Sus scrofa: one gene and its partners. The protein of the gene in region 2 interacts with the protein of the main gene of each other region in a pairwise test. Links are inferred from orthologs where the notes say so. Each region holds a gene or a part of one and is shown on either strand. Other genes may lie near its edges.

What was found.
Region 1: the proteins of COQ8A (region 2) and TMEM239 interact in binary tests that used the Homo sapiens proteins (3 or more experiments, as listed by UniProt). The two-hybrid records come from large-scale screens. The link is inferred for Sus scrofa from reciprocal best matches to the Homo sapiens genes COQ8A and TMEM239.
Region 3: the proteins of COQ8A (region 2) and SH3GLB1 interact in binary tests that used the Homo sapiens proteins (3 or more experiments, as listed by UniProt). The link is inferred for Sus scrofa from reciprocal best matches to the Homo sapiens genes COQ8A and SH3GLB1.

The regions. Positions count from the first base shown.
Region 1 is NC_010459.5:32,837,325-32,840,822, forward strand, and holds TMEM239 (transmembrane protein 239), read right to left. Parts: upstream 1,766-3,498; coding exon 1,729-1,765; intron 1,610-1,728; coding exon 1,456-1,609; intron 1,365-1,455; coding exon 836-1,364; downstream 1-835. Other genes in the region: C17H20orf141 (uncharacterized protein C20orf141 homolog), read right to left, coding at 2,038-2,278, 2,363-2,631.
Region 2 is NC_010452.4:14,617,452-14,621,867, forward strand, and holds part of COQ8A (atypical kinase COQ8A, mitochondrial), read left to right. Parts: intron 1-538; exon of another isoform or gene 539-556; intron 557-1,473; exon of another isoform or gene 1,474-1,478; intron 1,479-2,050; exon of another isoform or gene 2,051-2,054; intron 2,055-2,171; 5' UTR 2,172-2,181; coding exon 2,182-2,358; intron 2,359-4,416. UniProt on the Homo sapiens protein: Atypical kinase involved in the biosynthesis of coenzyme Q, also named ubiquinone, an essential lipid-soluble electron transporter for aerobic cellular respiration.
Region 3 is NC_010446.5:129,392,337-129,397,421, reverse strand, and holds the start of SH3GLB1 (endophilin-B1), read left to right. Parts: upstream 1-1,950; coding exon 1,951-2,022; intron 2,023-5,085. UniProt on the Homo sapiens protein: May be required for normal outer mitochondrial membrane dynamics. Required for coatomer-mediated retrograde transport in certain cells. May recruit other proteins to membranes with high curvature. May promote membrane fusion.

The DNA.
Region 1 (3,498 bases), on a different chromosome or scaffold from region 2:
GCTCTTTAGAGTTTCTTATCTTCTGGCTTGTTGGCCTTTATACAAAGTCCTTCACACATTGGTATTATTGCCTTTGACTCACAACAGCTCCATGACAGGACCCACTTTATACCAAGGCTCAAAAGAATTAATTGGCGAAGGCCACACATTGCGTAGGTGGGTGAAATGGGACTTGTTTTTCCCTAGCAAACCTAGGGAGTCTTAAGCCGTAGGTGCTCTCTGGGAACCTCATGACCCTTGTTGGCCCATTTCCCAGACTTGAGGATGTAGACTGAGGCAGGAGGTAGGAAGTCTAGGGAGTGGGGAATGGATGGGCAGAAAATCTGGGAGGAGGCTTGGCTGAGGTCTCATGTGGCTTCTGGCCGGCCCTCTCCCAGCCAAGTTTCTGTCACTGGGCTCTTTCTAGAGCCTGGGGAAGGGGAAAGACGGGCTTGGCGGGGTGAATGACAAGTCCAGGGGCACCCAGGTAGATGTTCTCTGTGAGCTCGAAGCGGAGACAGTTGAGCAGCTGCAAGGAAAAGATGCTGCCAGCTGCTAAGGGTGTCCCAGGGGTGTCACCACATGCACGTGGGAGCTTTGGGTGGCCTGGCCTAGCTCTGCTCCCAGCTCAGCCTTCTGCCCTATGCCCTGGCCCCCCATACCAAGTACCTGGAGGATCAGCTTGAGAGAGATGCCCCTACCCTGCCAGCAGGCCCTGACCAGCCCCAGCTAGGGACTGAAGGTCTGGAGCCTGCCGAGGCAGGAAGGCCCTGGTCCCACTGCCCTCCCTCTCCCCTGGGCCTCGGGCCCTAGGCCAGGGCTCAACAGACACAGGCAGCAGGATGGGGTCGCCCTTCTATTGGTCCAAGTCCTGAGCAAGGCCTGGGTGAGACATGGAGGTGAGGAGGCCCACGAGGCTCAGCAGCGTGGAGAACAGCAGCAGGAAGGAGGCCATGAAGAGCAGGGCGGGGAGGGCACTGAGCGCCAGCAGCAGGACAGCCGGCAGCAGATGGCGCCACGCTGCAGCCACCACGGGCCACAGGGAGCTCAGTAGGTGGGAGCCGGTGGTGAAGAGTGCATGGCAGAGCATCAGCGCCAGCAGCAGGTAGAGGATCCCTTCCAGACCCCACAGCACACGCTGCAGCGGCTGCCGCCAGCCCGATGTGATCCACCACTGGGCCCAGCTCGGGGGCATGTGGCACATGCACCAGCGCACCCAGCTGTCCCGTGTGAGCCAGGCCGTCCAGGGCACAGCACGCTGTGGCCCCTCACCGGCTCCGGTGGCATCTGTCTCCACTCGCAGCTGCTGCATCACGGCTGGTGCACCTGGGGAGAGGGCCAGGCCAGCTGCAGGAGCAGCCCTGGAGATGCCTGGGACCTCAGGATGGGTGGGTGGGGGTGGTAGCAGGGGTCAGGAGGGTACCAGCATGGGTGGGGTGGGGCTTGGAGCTGGGGCCTGGGTCTTACCTCCTGGCAGAGCCACCTAAGTCATGTTGCTTCTTGCAGCGCCCAGGACGGCCTGGCAGCCAGAGTTGAGCTCCCACTCTCACTCCCCTCACCCTCCCCAGAGGAGCCCCATTGTGACCCGGGCTGGGGTGGGGTCCAGCCAAGAGAGGGTGTGAGCATGAGCCTTACCTGAGCCTCTCTCATGGACTCTCTGGACTGGCAGGGGAGTTTCTCATGCTTCCTTGTGGGAAGCCCTCTCCGGATCCCCTCATCCCTTCCCTGCTGGCTGATATCCAGTCCCACTCTGCTCTCTTGCAAGTCTTTCTCTCTGGACCCTCATTCTCTAGAACCACCCAGGAGGCCAGACTAGCCACCCCAACCTACGGGCTCTGAGATGGCTACCACATCCTCCTCTGGGCTCCTTGTCCTTTATCTCGGTTTTGGCCGATGTCCTCGGACTCAGACCTAGGTATCCACTGTCCCTATTGTGGGAGCAGAGGTTCCCCTGGGGTTCAGGCTGGAGGAGAAAGAGTATCCTTCCATCTGCCCAGCCCAGGGTGGAGGAAAGAAGGCCTGAGGAAATAGCATGGCCAGTGTATTTCTGGAGGACACTCAAGCCCAAGGATGGAGACAGAAAGCCAGGGCTAGCAGGGTCAAGGGCATGCCACGGGCTCCCAGGAGGAGCCCCAGGCCCAAGAGCAGCATCAGCAGAGCCTCCTGGAGGGCGAGTTGTCCTGTGCCCACCGTGGGCAGGAGTAGAGCCTCCACTTGTCCCGGACCCTCGCCGGCGCCCTGACTCTGGCCCCCTGTGAGACGTGGATGTGTGTGCTGTGGCCAGGTGGGACCTGCAGGCCTGTGGCGAGAAAGGGTGGCAGCTGGGCTTTGGGAGGTTGACCACTTGTGCACCTGCCCGCCTGCTAAGCTGCTGTGCACTTACCGGTGGAGCAGATCGAAGGCCAGGAAGCTGACGAGTAGCAGCAGCAGCAGCAGTGAGGCTGGGCCAGTTGTGGAAAAGACGGCCCAAATTGTCAGCCCCAGTGCCCCCAGCCCTAGGACACTGTCCAGGAGCTGGGCTGGGCTAGGGCCCCCAGGAGACACACATGGACCCACTGGGCTACCCGATCCTTCCCCAGCACCCAGGCCCCTGGGAAGGCCTGGGATAGAATAAGCAGGGCCCTTGGGCCTGGATGAGCAGAGCTGGGTCATGGAGGGAGCTGGCAGTTACAGCAAGGAATGGGGAAGGGTAGGAATCTGGGGGATGAGACCATGGGGGAGGGCGATGGGGGGCCCTGGCGGACACTCAAGGGTGAGCTCAAGCAGTGGAGAGCTGGGCTTCTCGGGAATCTCCTCCTCCCCACACACCCACCCACCAAACCCTCCTCATCTCCTCCCACTTGGGTCAGCCATTCTGGGGGGCTGGGTAGCCGGAGCATTGTGACTTATTGCCTGGGGGGCCCTGGGGTAGGGAGGGGGCTGCTGCTGGCTCTGGCCTCCTAAGTAGCTGCTGTGGCTTGATAGGAGGAAGCCTGACTTTGGAGAACTAAAGACTCATCCTCTTGCCTTTGCTAATCGTCCACTCTAGGGCCCTCCCGTGGGGATCTGTGTTGCTGGGAAGACATTCTAACCCCATCACTGTATGGGCAGCTCTCCAAGGGAGGAAGGGCTGCTTTCTTTGCCTTATGAGCTTCCTGGGCTGTGTGTCCAGGGGCAAGTGACTCAATCAGTCTGTCCCCAGCTCTCTCCCCAGAGAGTAGGATGATGCCAGTGGGCTCTTGTGGGGGATTTTTCAGAACTGCAGTCCTGGAATGCAGAGATAGACTCTGCCAGGAAGCAACCTGAGGCTTTCTGGGGCAGGGTTCCCATATGACCTGGTAAATGGGCCAGAGGGGGTGGGGTGGGGTTGACAGGAGGGGCCTCTTTAGACGTTTGAAGCACTGTGGTTTGCGGGAGGTGTTCTGGATACTGGGATTCCAGAAATGGCACTGAGAAGGTGAATGAAAGAGGGCCATAACCTGATAATCCCCAAACTGGAGATTACGTTTACCTTCTGAGGATGAAATTAGGGAACATGAA
Region 2 (4,416 bases):
CGGGGCTTTTGGCCTCTGGGAGACTCCCGCCTTGGTTATCTGGGCTGGATTTAGAGGTGTGCAAGGGGAGGGGGGCCTGTTTCTGGGGCCCCCAGGCAGTAGGGTATGCTAGTTGGGGCTGGGGCCCTGGCCTCTGCCATTGCGTGACTCTGATGTCTCTTTCCTTCTTCCCTCACGAGGAAAGCTTAGCGGTACGTGTCGGGCTGGGGCTGGGGAGCTGCTGCGAGCTGGCACCAGCTGTACCTGAGCTCTGATTACATGAGCTTTTCCTAGTCCTAGGCGTTTGATCTGGGGCTCACACTTGTTTATTGCTCTGGGGTGTGAAAACAGCAGCAGGCAATGAGCAGGGCTCCGCCCACCTCTTTCAAGGGTATGATCACCTTCCAGAAACCTTGGCTTTGATCAGGCTATAGGCGGTGTGTTTGTGGCTGATCAGTGCCCTGTCCCCGTGAGGGTGCCTTGGAGGCGGAGAACCAAGCATTTGGTGTGGTGGACACAAGACAAGGGCGGAGACCAGACCTGGGGCCACCGCTCAGGAACCGCATCATTTTGGCTGGTTAGTTAACCTTGCTGACTTGGTGAAATGTGGGCAGCAATATCCATGTCATCCATAAGGATTCAAAGGAGATGAGGTGGAGGGTTCTTGGAGGGCAGGTTATGGTGGGTCGTCCTGACTTCCAGGCTTCTGTGCATTTGGTGTGTGGGGGTTCCTCTGGCTGTCGCTGCAGCTCTCTCTTTATTTTGTATTTATTTATGTAGCTGCGCCCACGGTATGTGGAAGTTCTGGGGCCAGAGATGCAACCCAAACCCTTAGCCCTGACGATGCTGAATCCTTAACCGCCAGGCCCCCAGGGCACTCTGACAGCTCTCCTTTTAAATCAGAGCAGCTGTACCCTGTGCTCAGGAGCTGAGCGGATCCTTGCGAGAACGACTGGGGCTGCTCCCCGAGAAGGGCGGCCAGGAGTGGGAACCCCGGTTCTGGTGGAGATGCTCGTCAGCCAGGCCTTGCGGTTGCGCAGCTGCTAATTAGTGTGCTGAGAACCCCCTCCCTCCTGCTGGCCCAGCCCTGCGTTTGTGCATCTCGCCGTCTTGGCCTCCAGGTGTTTGTTCACACGTCTGGTCCGGGTCTCCTGGTCGTGCCTTCCACACCCACACCCGCTCTGCCCACCGGATCTTATCTCGGAGGCTCCTGGCAGGTCCTTGCCCCCGCTGCAGTGCCCCGTCCCGCTCCGGGGGCTTCTTGGAGTCTCCTTTTGTGTTTGCTCTCCCCGCCACTCCCTGTCTGACTTGCCCCCCAACCTGGAGCCCCAGGTAGGCCAGAGGAGGATGTGGGGACTGCCACGTGCACTCTGCCCTGCATGGCACCCGGTGTGCCCCCGACAGGAAGGAGCCCCTTTTACGCTGTGACCGGTAGAGAGCAGAGAGTGGGTGTGCGCACACGGAGGGGAGACGACTCCCACAGCCGCCCCTTCCTGCAGGTGCTCCTTGCTCCCCGTCTGTCGTGCCATCGTGTTGGTGGCATTTTCAGTGCCAGTTAGGATTTTCCAAAGGCAGTGCCCTGTGGTCTGGACTGCAGCTGGAAAGCACTGGCTCGGGGAATCGTTGAGCCTGAGGGTGGGGAGGGGGCTCTGGTTGTGCTCCCTCGGTGGGTGTCTGTCAGAGGCTTCATTGGGCAGAGCCAGGGTGGCTGGGCTGGATTGGGTGGCCCATGAGGAGTTGGGGCTACCCCCCAACCTTGAATCCCTGGCCCCCGAAGGGAGCTGCTTGGGGAGCAGGTGTTCCCTCCCCAGCCTGTGCATTTGGTCCAGAAGGAGAGCACCGGACTAGGTCCCTGTACCCAGATCAGGTCCTGGTTCTACTGCTTGGTGGCTGAGGGACTCTGGGCAAATCCCTTAACTTGTGCATATGATGGGGAGGCCGTGGGGCCCCAGCAAACAGCTCCGACTCCCCGACGCTTTCCTTCTGCTCAGCACCCTTCAGCGTGGGGAATTGCTCAGTCTGCCTTGAACCCTGGGCTCTTCTCTTTGCACTCTGACACCTGGATCCGAAGCAGGGTGGGGGCAGGTCAGAGGAAAAACCCAACTGCCCCGAGTCTGGGGGAGAGGTGCCCCGTGTGGGCGTGACACCAGGGAGGTGTGGAGCCCTGCCCTGACCTGCCTGCTCTCTTCCAGGCCTGGAAGGATGGCTGCCGTGTTGGGGGACGCCCTCATGCTGGTCAAAGGCCTCGTCAAGCTGACCCAGGCGGCTGTGGAGACCCACCTGCAGCACCTGGGCCTTGGCGGGGAGCTCGTCCTGCTGGCCAGGACCCTGCAGTCCACGGCTGCAGAGCAGATGGGCGTGATCTGGGGGCAGGTGCAGGTGAGGAGGCCCGTTGATGGTGGGAGGGGGTGGGACCTGAGGGCCTGCTGAGACCAAGGCAGTGAAGCAGGGCACAGCCAGGATGGCTGGTCCCCCTGGGGCTATAGAGCCCACTGGCTAGTGTAGCCTTTCGTCCTTGCGGGTATGATGGTGAGGCTGCCGTGGTATGAGCGAGTTTTAGTTGGAGGAATCGTCTCAAGCTGCCCAGGTGACTGGACGAAGCCCAGCCCCCTTAAGTCAGACCAGTGATTCACCCGCACTTAGCCAGTACCTCCGGATGCCGGGTGCGGGGCGTGACAGGCCCACCCTGCCTCTCTGCCTGGCCTGACTTCAGCTCCTGGGCTGTCCTGAAGGTAGGAAGAGAGGCCGTTTCAGTTTTAGAAATTGAAAAAGTCACAAAGAGAAGACTAACAGTCCTTGTGTTCTTATGGAGGCAGCCACAAAATCCCTGCGATGCTTCCTTTGTGGAAGCAAACAAGTCCATTTTTCCCCCCACTTTTTTAGGGCCGCATCTGTGGCATATGGAGGTTCCCAGGCTAGGGGTTGAGTCAGAGCTGTGGCAGCCAGCCTACACCACAGCCACAGCAAGTCAGATCTGAGCCACATTTGTGACCTACACTATAACTCACGGCAGCACGATATCCTTAACCCACTGAGCCAGGCCAGGGATCGAACCTGTGTCTTCATGGATGCTAGTCAAATTCGTTTCCACTGAGCCACAACAGGAACTCCCCAAACAAGTTCTTTATAAGATAGAACACTTTCACCTTGTTCATCTGATCTATGTTAGTTTTTTGGTTGGGCCGATTTTGTAAAGAGGCTGCCCAGTGTGCAGGCGGGCAGGACACCCGTGTCTGGTTGGATGTCACAGCTCAGTGTCCAGCTGTCACTGGGGCCTGAGTGTCAGTGGACCTTCCTTGGGCTTCGACGGCTCTTCTCCCAATGCCAGCTGAGCCCGAGCCAGGCCGGGCCTTGTCTTCCTTCTCCACGTTGCCGCGGTCTCTGGGTGCTGATGTGGGGCTCTGCCCCTCTCCAGGGCAGCATCCTCACCTCTCGCCTCCCCCTCACTCCCTGTGCTGTCTCATGCTGAGTCCAAGAGCCCTGACTTTCTGCCATCCAAGTGGTTGTCAGCAGGGCCTGCTCCAGCCAAGTGACGGGACCCGAATCCCGTGTCCTGTGCCGGGTCTCAGACTCCTTGCCCGTCCCCCTCTGCCGAGGCTGTGCCCTGGCCGCCTCACTGGGTGCCTTTGCTGGTGAGCAGCCACCGCCTTCCTGTGGGGTGTTTGGCCTGGGGAACGCCCGGGAGTGAGGCAGCCCGCTGGACATGGGCAGCCCCCTGCCCAGGCAGGGTCCTCCCCCTACCAGCCACTTGGAGGTCGAAGGGAGTGACCGTCCCCCACCACGAAGGAGGCACTGAGCTCCCACTCTCTCCCTGAACAACTTAGACGTTGGTGTCCCCTCTCTCTGAGGGGACAGAGGGCCAGCTACTCCAGAAACCTCTCCCCCTCTGGCTCCTCAGGGGATTTGCTCACTTATTCATTCAGCAAACCCTGAGTCTGGTCCCTTTGAGACACTGGGCCCCCTTGGCTGGCACATAAACAGGTTGTGGTAACGCAGGGCTGGCTGGCGGGCAGCAGGCGGGGTGATGGGGCAGAAGGAGTTATGGGTCCGCAGCCAGCGAGGGGATTCCTGGAGTTACATAGCTCTCAGGACCCTGCCTCAGGCTTCCTCACCTCGGGGCTCCCCTGGCATCTGGAGAGATGCCCCTCCATTCAGTACAGTTCGAGTCTGTTCTGGGGAAGGGGCTGCCAGGCGACCTCGAGGCGGCCCGGGGGTCAAGGCTTAGCCTGCTCTGCCATCGGCTTCCTGATGGTCCTTTACCGAGGACTGCAGCTCCTGCAGCCTTGTGTCCCATGTAGGAGATGAGAGTGACAGCGTGTCTCTTCCTTCCTCTGGAGGGCGGGTCTGTCTGTTAGACCCCACCATGTCGTATAAAGCTGCAGTGAGGAGGTGTTGGGCTCTGCAGCCATCTCTGCAGAACCTGTGGGCTGCACGCAC
Region 3 (5,085 bases), on a different chromosome or scaffold from region 2:
GGAAACAGAGAGGATACACTGGTCTCCGGAACGTGTCAGTGAAACTAGAGAAACTAGGGCTGAACAGGAATAAGTGAAGATATTTCTTCCTCAAGTCAGCAGATCTACAAGTTTGAGGAAGAGGATCCAGAGTTTTTTCCTCTAATGGTGAATGCAGTGTCATGATCTTTTTGCAGAAATGGACATGGATTATGATATACTTGTGAATATACTTATTGTGAAGACAAACATCTGGAAAGAGATAAAGTGTTTTCTACATAAAAATACAAAATGAACAATAAATGAAAGCCAAGAATCCTGATTATATATTTCCTTCTCCATATTTCTGGAAAAATAAGTTAAGATACACATGGAGTAAGATTCATTCTTTTGTAGTTGCCTTGGGGGGAAAAAGGCTGTTTCTGTCACCACCACAAAGAACATAAATATTTGTATGTTATTTGCTATTCCTTATAATATGCTTAGGCTCTAATCTTTGTGCCTTTAACAGCCACCGCTGCTATGGCTGCTGTTTCAGTAAAACTCAGAAGCATGAATGTGAGCTCATGTCACCGCCCACCGGGCCTGCTGTCACTTTCCCAGCCCTAAAGTAATAAAAGGGCAACACAACAAATGCATGGAGCCTTTTCTTATACTTGAAATTCTAGTCTCCCCTCCCTCCGTGCTTGTACCCATGTGAACTTCAATCAAGCATAAGCTGTGTCCTGAGGCTGCTTAACAAGATACTTGGAATTACGGGCTTTTGCGCAAATTCCACGTCACGGGCTCCTTAGTTATGAAAATTCACATGTATTCCCATTCGTTATTAACGTTGACATCGTACCCCATTAGTTATCAAGCCCGCCTCGCCCAGCGGCTAAGGGTCCCTCGGTGTCGCTCACCACCGTGCACGGCCACGTCCAGCCTGGCTCTCCGGGTCCCGGGCGCCGCGTTCTGCACCAGCAGGCGCCCAGGGTCGGACCTGCAGCCCAGCAGGTGAGCGCTGCCGCGGGCGGGGCTGGGGTCCCTGGAGGTCAAGAGCCGCCCCGAGAGCGTCCTGAGGCGGGGACAGGCCTGGGCGGTAGGTGTCCCCAGCACGGGTTGCAGTCCTGGTGCCCAGCAGATGCTCAGCAATGCCGAATGAATGAACAGCGGGCGCCGCGGGGACTTGACTTCAAGTCTGTTCTGCAAACGTCCACGAGCGCCATCCGGGCGTCAGGCACCAGCGGGGCGCGGGACCTACAAGACTCATTTCACAGGTGCTGTAATTCTACGCTACAACGTCCCCATTTTCTCCTAAAACAAAACGGGGGGTTGGGGTTCTCTCTGTTCTGGAGGCTCAGACCAAACTGCAAACGTGCAGCGGCGCAGCGGCCCCGCGGCGCGCTTCTCGCCGCGAACGCCACCCTCCCTGAGGGGAACGCGCCCAGCTCCCGGCGCGCCCCGCGGCTCGGCGGCCGCGGTCCTGAAGGGGACGCTGTTCCCGCGATAACCTCGGCGGCCGCAGACCTGAAGGGGTCGCTGTTCCCGCGATAACCCCTGTAAAGGCCCCGCCCCGCGGCCCCGCGACCGCGGCCCTGAAGGGGTCGCTGTTCCCGCGATAACCCCCGTAAAGGCCCCGCCCCGCGGCCCGCGCTCGCTTCCTCCGTTGGGGACCCGGCCCCTCGCGGCGCGGACGCCGGCCGCTCTCCTGGAAGCCCACCGCGGCCCCGCCGGCGTTCGCGGCAGCTCCCCCTGAAGGGACAGGCCCTGCGTCCCGGCCGCCGCCGCTCGGGCGCGCGGCCGGCTCCGAGGCGCCGGTTCTCGCCGCCGCCCCGCCCTCCCCCCACGGAAACGACAGCTGCGGCGGGGCCGGCGCCGCCTCCCTCCGACCACGTCCGCCCCCGCCGCGCGCACCCCGCGCCCCAGCCCGGCCGCCGCGCCGCCGCCTCCCGGTAGGTCCGCCGGCCGCCGCGCCCGGCTGCCCCCAGGATGAACATCATGGACTTCAACGTGAAGAAGCTGGCGGCCGACGCGGGCACCTTCCTCAGCCGCGCAGTGCAGGTACCGCGCGGGGGGGAGGGCGGCGGCGCCCGGGGGGCGGGGAGGGGTCGCCGAGGCGGCCGCGCCCGTGGTGCCGGCTTCCGACCGCCCGCGGGCCTGCTGCGGCCGCGGCCCCTGAGGGCGCGGCCTGGTACCCTCTGCGCCCGGCGGCCGTTTTCCTGCCCTCCTGCCCAACCGCCGCTCGGGCAGGCGCCGCGGAGCGGGGCCGGGCCGGAGCCTCCCTTCCTCGGGAGGAGCGGGGCCGGGCCGGAGCCCCCCTTCCTCGGGAGGAGCGGGGCCGGGCCGGAGCCCCGCTTCCTCGGGAGGAGCGGGGACGGGCCGGAGCCCCCCTTCCTCGGGAGGAGCGGGGCCGGGCCGGAGCCCCCCTTCCTCGGGAGGAGCGGGGACGGGCCGGAGCCCCGCTTCCTCGGGAGGAGCGGGGACGGGCCGGAGCCCCCCTTCCTCGGGAGGAGCGGGGACGGGCCGGAGCCCCCCTTCCTCGGGAGGAGCGGGGCCGGGCCGGAGCCCCCTTCCTCGGGAGGAGCGGGGCCGGGCCGGAGCCCCCCTTCCTCGGGAGGAGCGGGGACGGGCCGGAGCCCCGCTTCCTCGGGAGGAGCGGGGACGGGCCGGAGCCCCCCTTCCTCGGGAGGAGCGGGGACGGGCCGGAGCCCCCCTTCCTCGGGAGGAGCGGGGACGGGCCGGAGCCCCCCTTCCTCGGGAGGAGCGGGGACGGGCCGGAGCCCCCCTTCCTCGGGAGGAGCGGGGACGGGCCGGAGCACACCTCGAGCTCGGCCCCGGGCTGCGGCACCTCTCCTCCTGCCTCTCCGACGCCGAGGCCGGGGCCTGGGTGCGCTCCCTCCCGGGCGGGCGGAGCCCTTGCGCGTCCGCGAGGGGCCGGGAGACGGCCGTCCTTGCAGCACCCCCGCCCTGTCCTCCGGGCTCGCTCCTCGCCGGGTCCGAGAAGGAAGTTTGCTTTCCTAACCCTCTGTCGGGACAGCTGCCAGCACAGCGCCCCGCAGTCCTGCGCCCGGCTGCCCGCGTCCGGACTCAGCCAAGGCCGCGGGCTGGGGTCCCACTGGTTTTCAAAGTGGGGAGCACAGGCAGTGGGGCAGCGAGAGAGGGGGTGGGGTTCTTGTCGCGCCTCCAGTCACAGGGACATTTTTCGAAAACACTTTAGGGGGAAAGTTGAGTACCTCGCGTATTCAGAAATTAAGGAAGTGTCAGTCCTGGGAACTCGGGACAGTTTTCTGCAGGCGCCACCCACACTGTGCCACCGCGGGGAAATCTGTGAGCAGGTGTGAATTTCACAGTACGGGGTGTAAACAATCTGGCGTTTTAAGTTAATGGCACAGTCACAGTAGCAACAGCATTCTCTTTTGTAAACAGAAAACAAAAATAGTTTTCTAATGTAACATACCCGGCTGGTACTGAAATGTAAGTCATTGTGAAACTTTACTGCTTTCCTAGTTGCCTTTAGCCCACTTTTTTTGGCATAGTTGACGCTGCACGATGCTTGACTTGTAGAAGAATGGAAGAATTAGAGCAAGACACTAGCTGTTTATTTTAGTGCAAATTCTCAGTGATTCTGGTGCTGAATGCAGATTTGACACTAGGTAATGCCACTTTGAAATAAAGCTGGATGTTTTCGGGTACATAATCCCCACTGCTTAAGTAGGACATACGTATTATGGTTTGATTGAAGTGGTTGATCAACTTCATGTAAAAAATCTGGCACAGCTCTCAAGATGTGCTTCCCACGTTAATTTCAGTTATTCACTGTTTCAAATTCTCTAGGAAAAAGTTTGAAAATTCTATCTTCTGTTAGTTATCAAATAATTTTCAGTCTTAAATACTTCACTGTCTGCTCCACATCCGCATGTTACTGCTGTTTTGGCCAGTAGTGATACAGCAATAAATAAAATCGCCAAAATTTCTGCCCTCCTGGAGTTTACAGTCGAGCGGGAAAAGACAAACTAAGTACATTAGAGAAAAAAGCCAAAAAAGATTAGTTTAGGACAGGGGTGGTGGTTGCTGCTGTTACATGAACATATTGGAAAGGGCAGTTTTTTCTGTTAGGATCAAATTCAGAAAGACCTCAACGAAGTGACACTTCTCCCCTTTTTTTGTTTTTTTGTTTGTTTGTTTGTTTCCTTTGAGGAAAAGCATTTCAGGCAGAGGTAACAAATGCAGGATCTGAGGTTGCAGGGGTGCTAGAGAGACCAGTTAGGGAGTTGTGGCCCTAGGTCAGGCAAAAGGTGATGTGACTTAAATAAGAGGAGGTTCAGAATCTGTCCAGTGTTGAGTGTCATATTGGCTCTGGGTTATGAGAGAAAGATGAGTCAAGGATGACTCTGAGGTTGTGGCTTGAGCCATTTACTAAGAAGGGAAAAATTTCAGGAGGATCAGGCTCCTTTAATGTGTCTTTTTGTATTAAGTCTGTAATATATATTGCGAAATATTTATGTACAAACTATGTCATGTCTGAGAATTGCTTTAAAATATTTCAGAAGAAAAAATGTGGATAATTGAAACAGTATTGGCAAAAGGTTGATACTTGCTGACGCTTGGTTATGGGTTCATGAGGTTTTATTATACTACTATACATTATGTGTGACATTTTCCATGGTTTTTTAAATAAAATATGTAAGGAAAAAGAGGTGGTTGCAAAATGGAACGTGAAATCTGGAATGCTATGTGGTAATTTTCAACAAAATACTGCATTCCCATTTCATTATTTAGTCAGTAACAGAGTTCCTGCTCTAAATTGAGTTGACCTAAGTGTTGTGCCAAAAAGTGCCAAGTTTCATGCTAAGAATAGTGTAAGAGCTATGCCAGTTCCTCATTACAAGCAATAAGATCAGCAGGAATGGAATTCAGCTTTAATATTTCTGAATAATAATTTCTATTCAAATAAAATTACACCTTAAGGAATAAGCCATTCTTTGGTTAGACAATTGCCATACATTTTTTTCATTTCAGTTAAAAATTAAACATGTCCCCTGTTTTAAAAAAGTAAAATAGAACTATTCGAGCATATAAATGGGTCCCATCACTCCACTCCAACTCTTCTAAAATTTGTCTCTA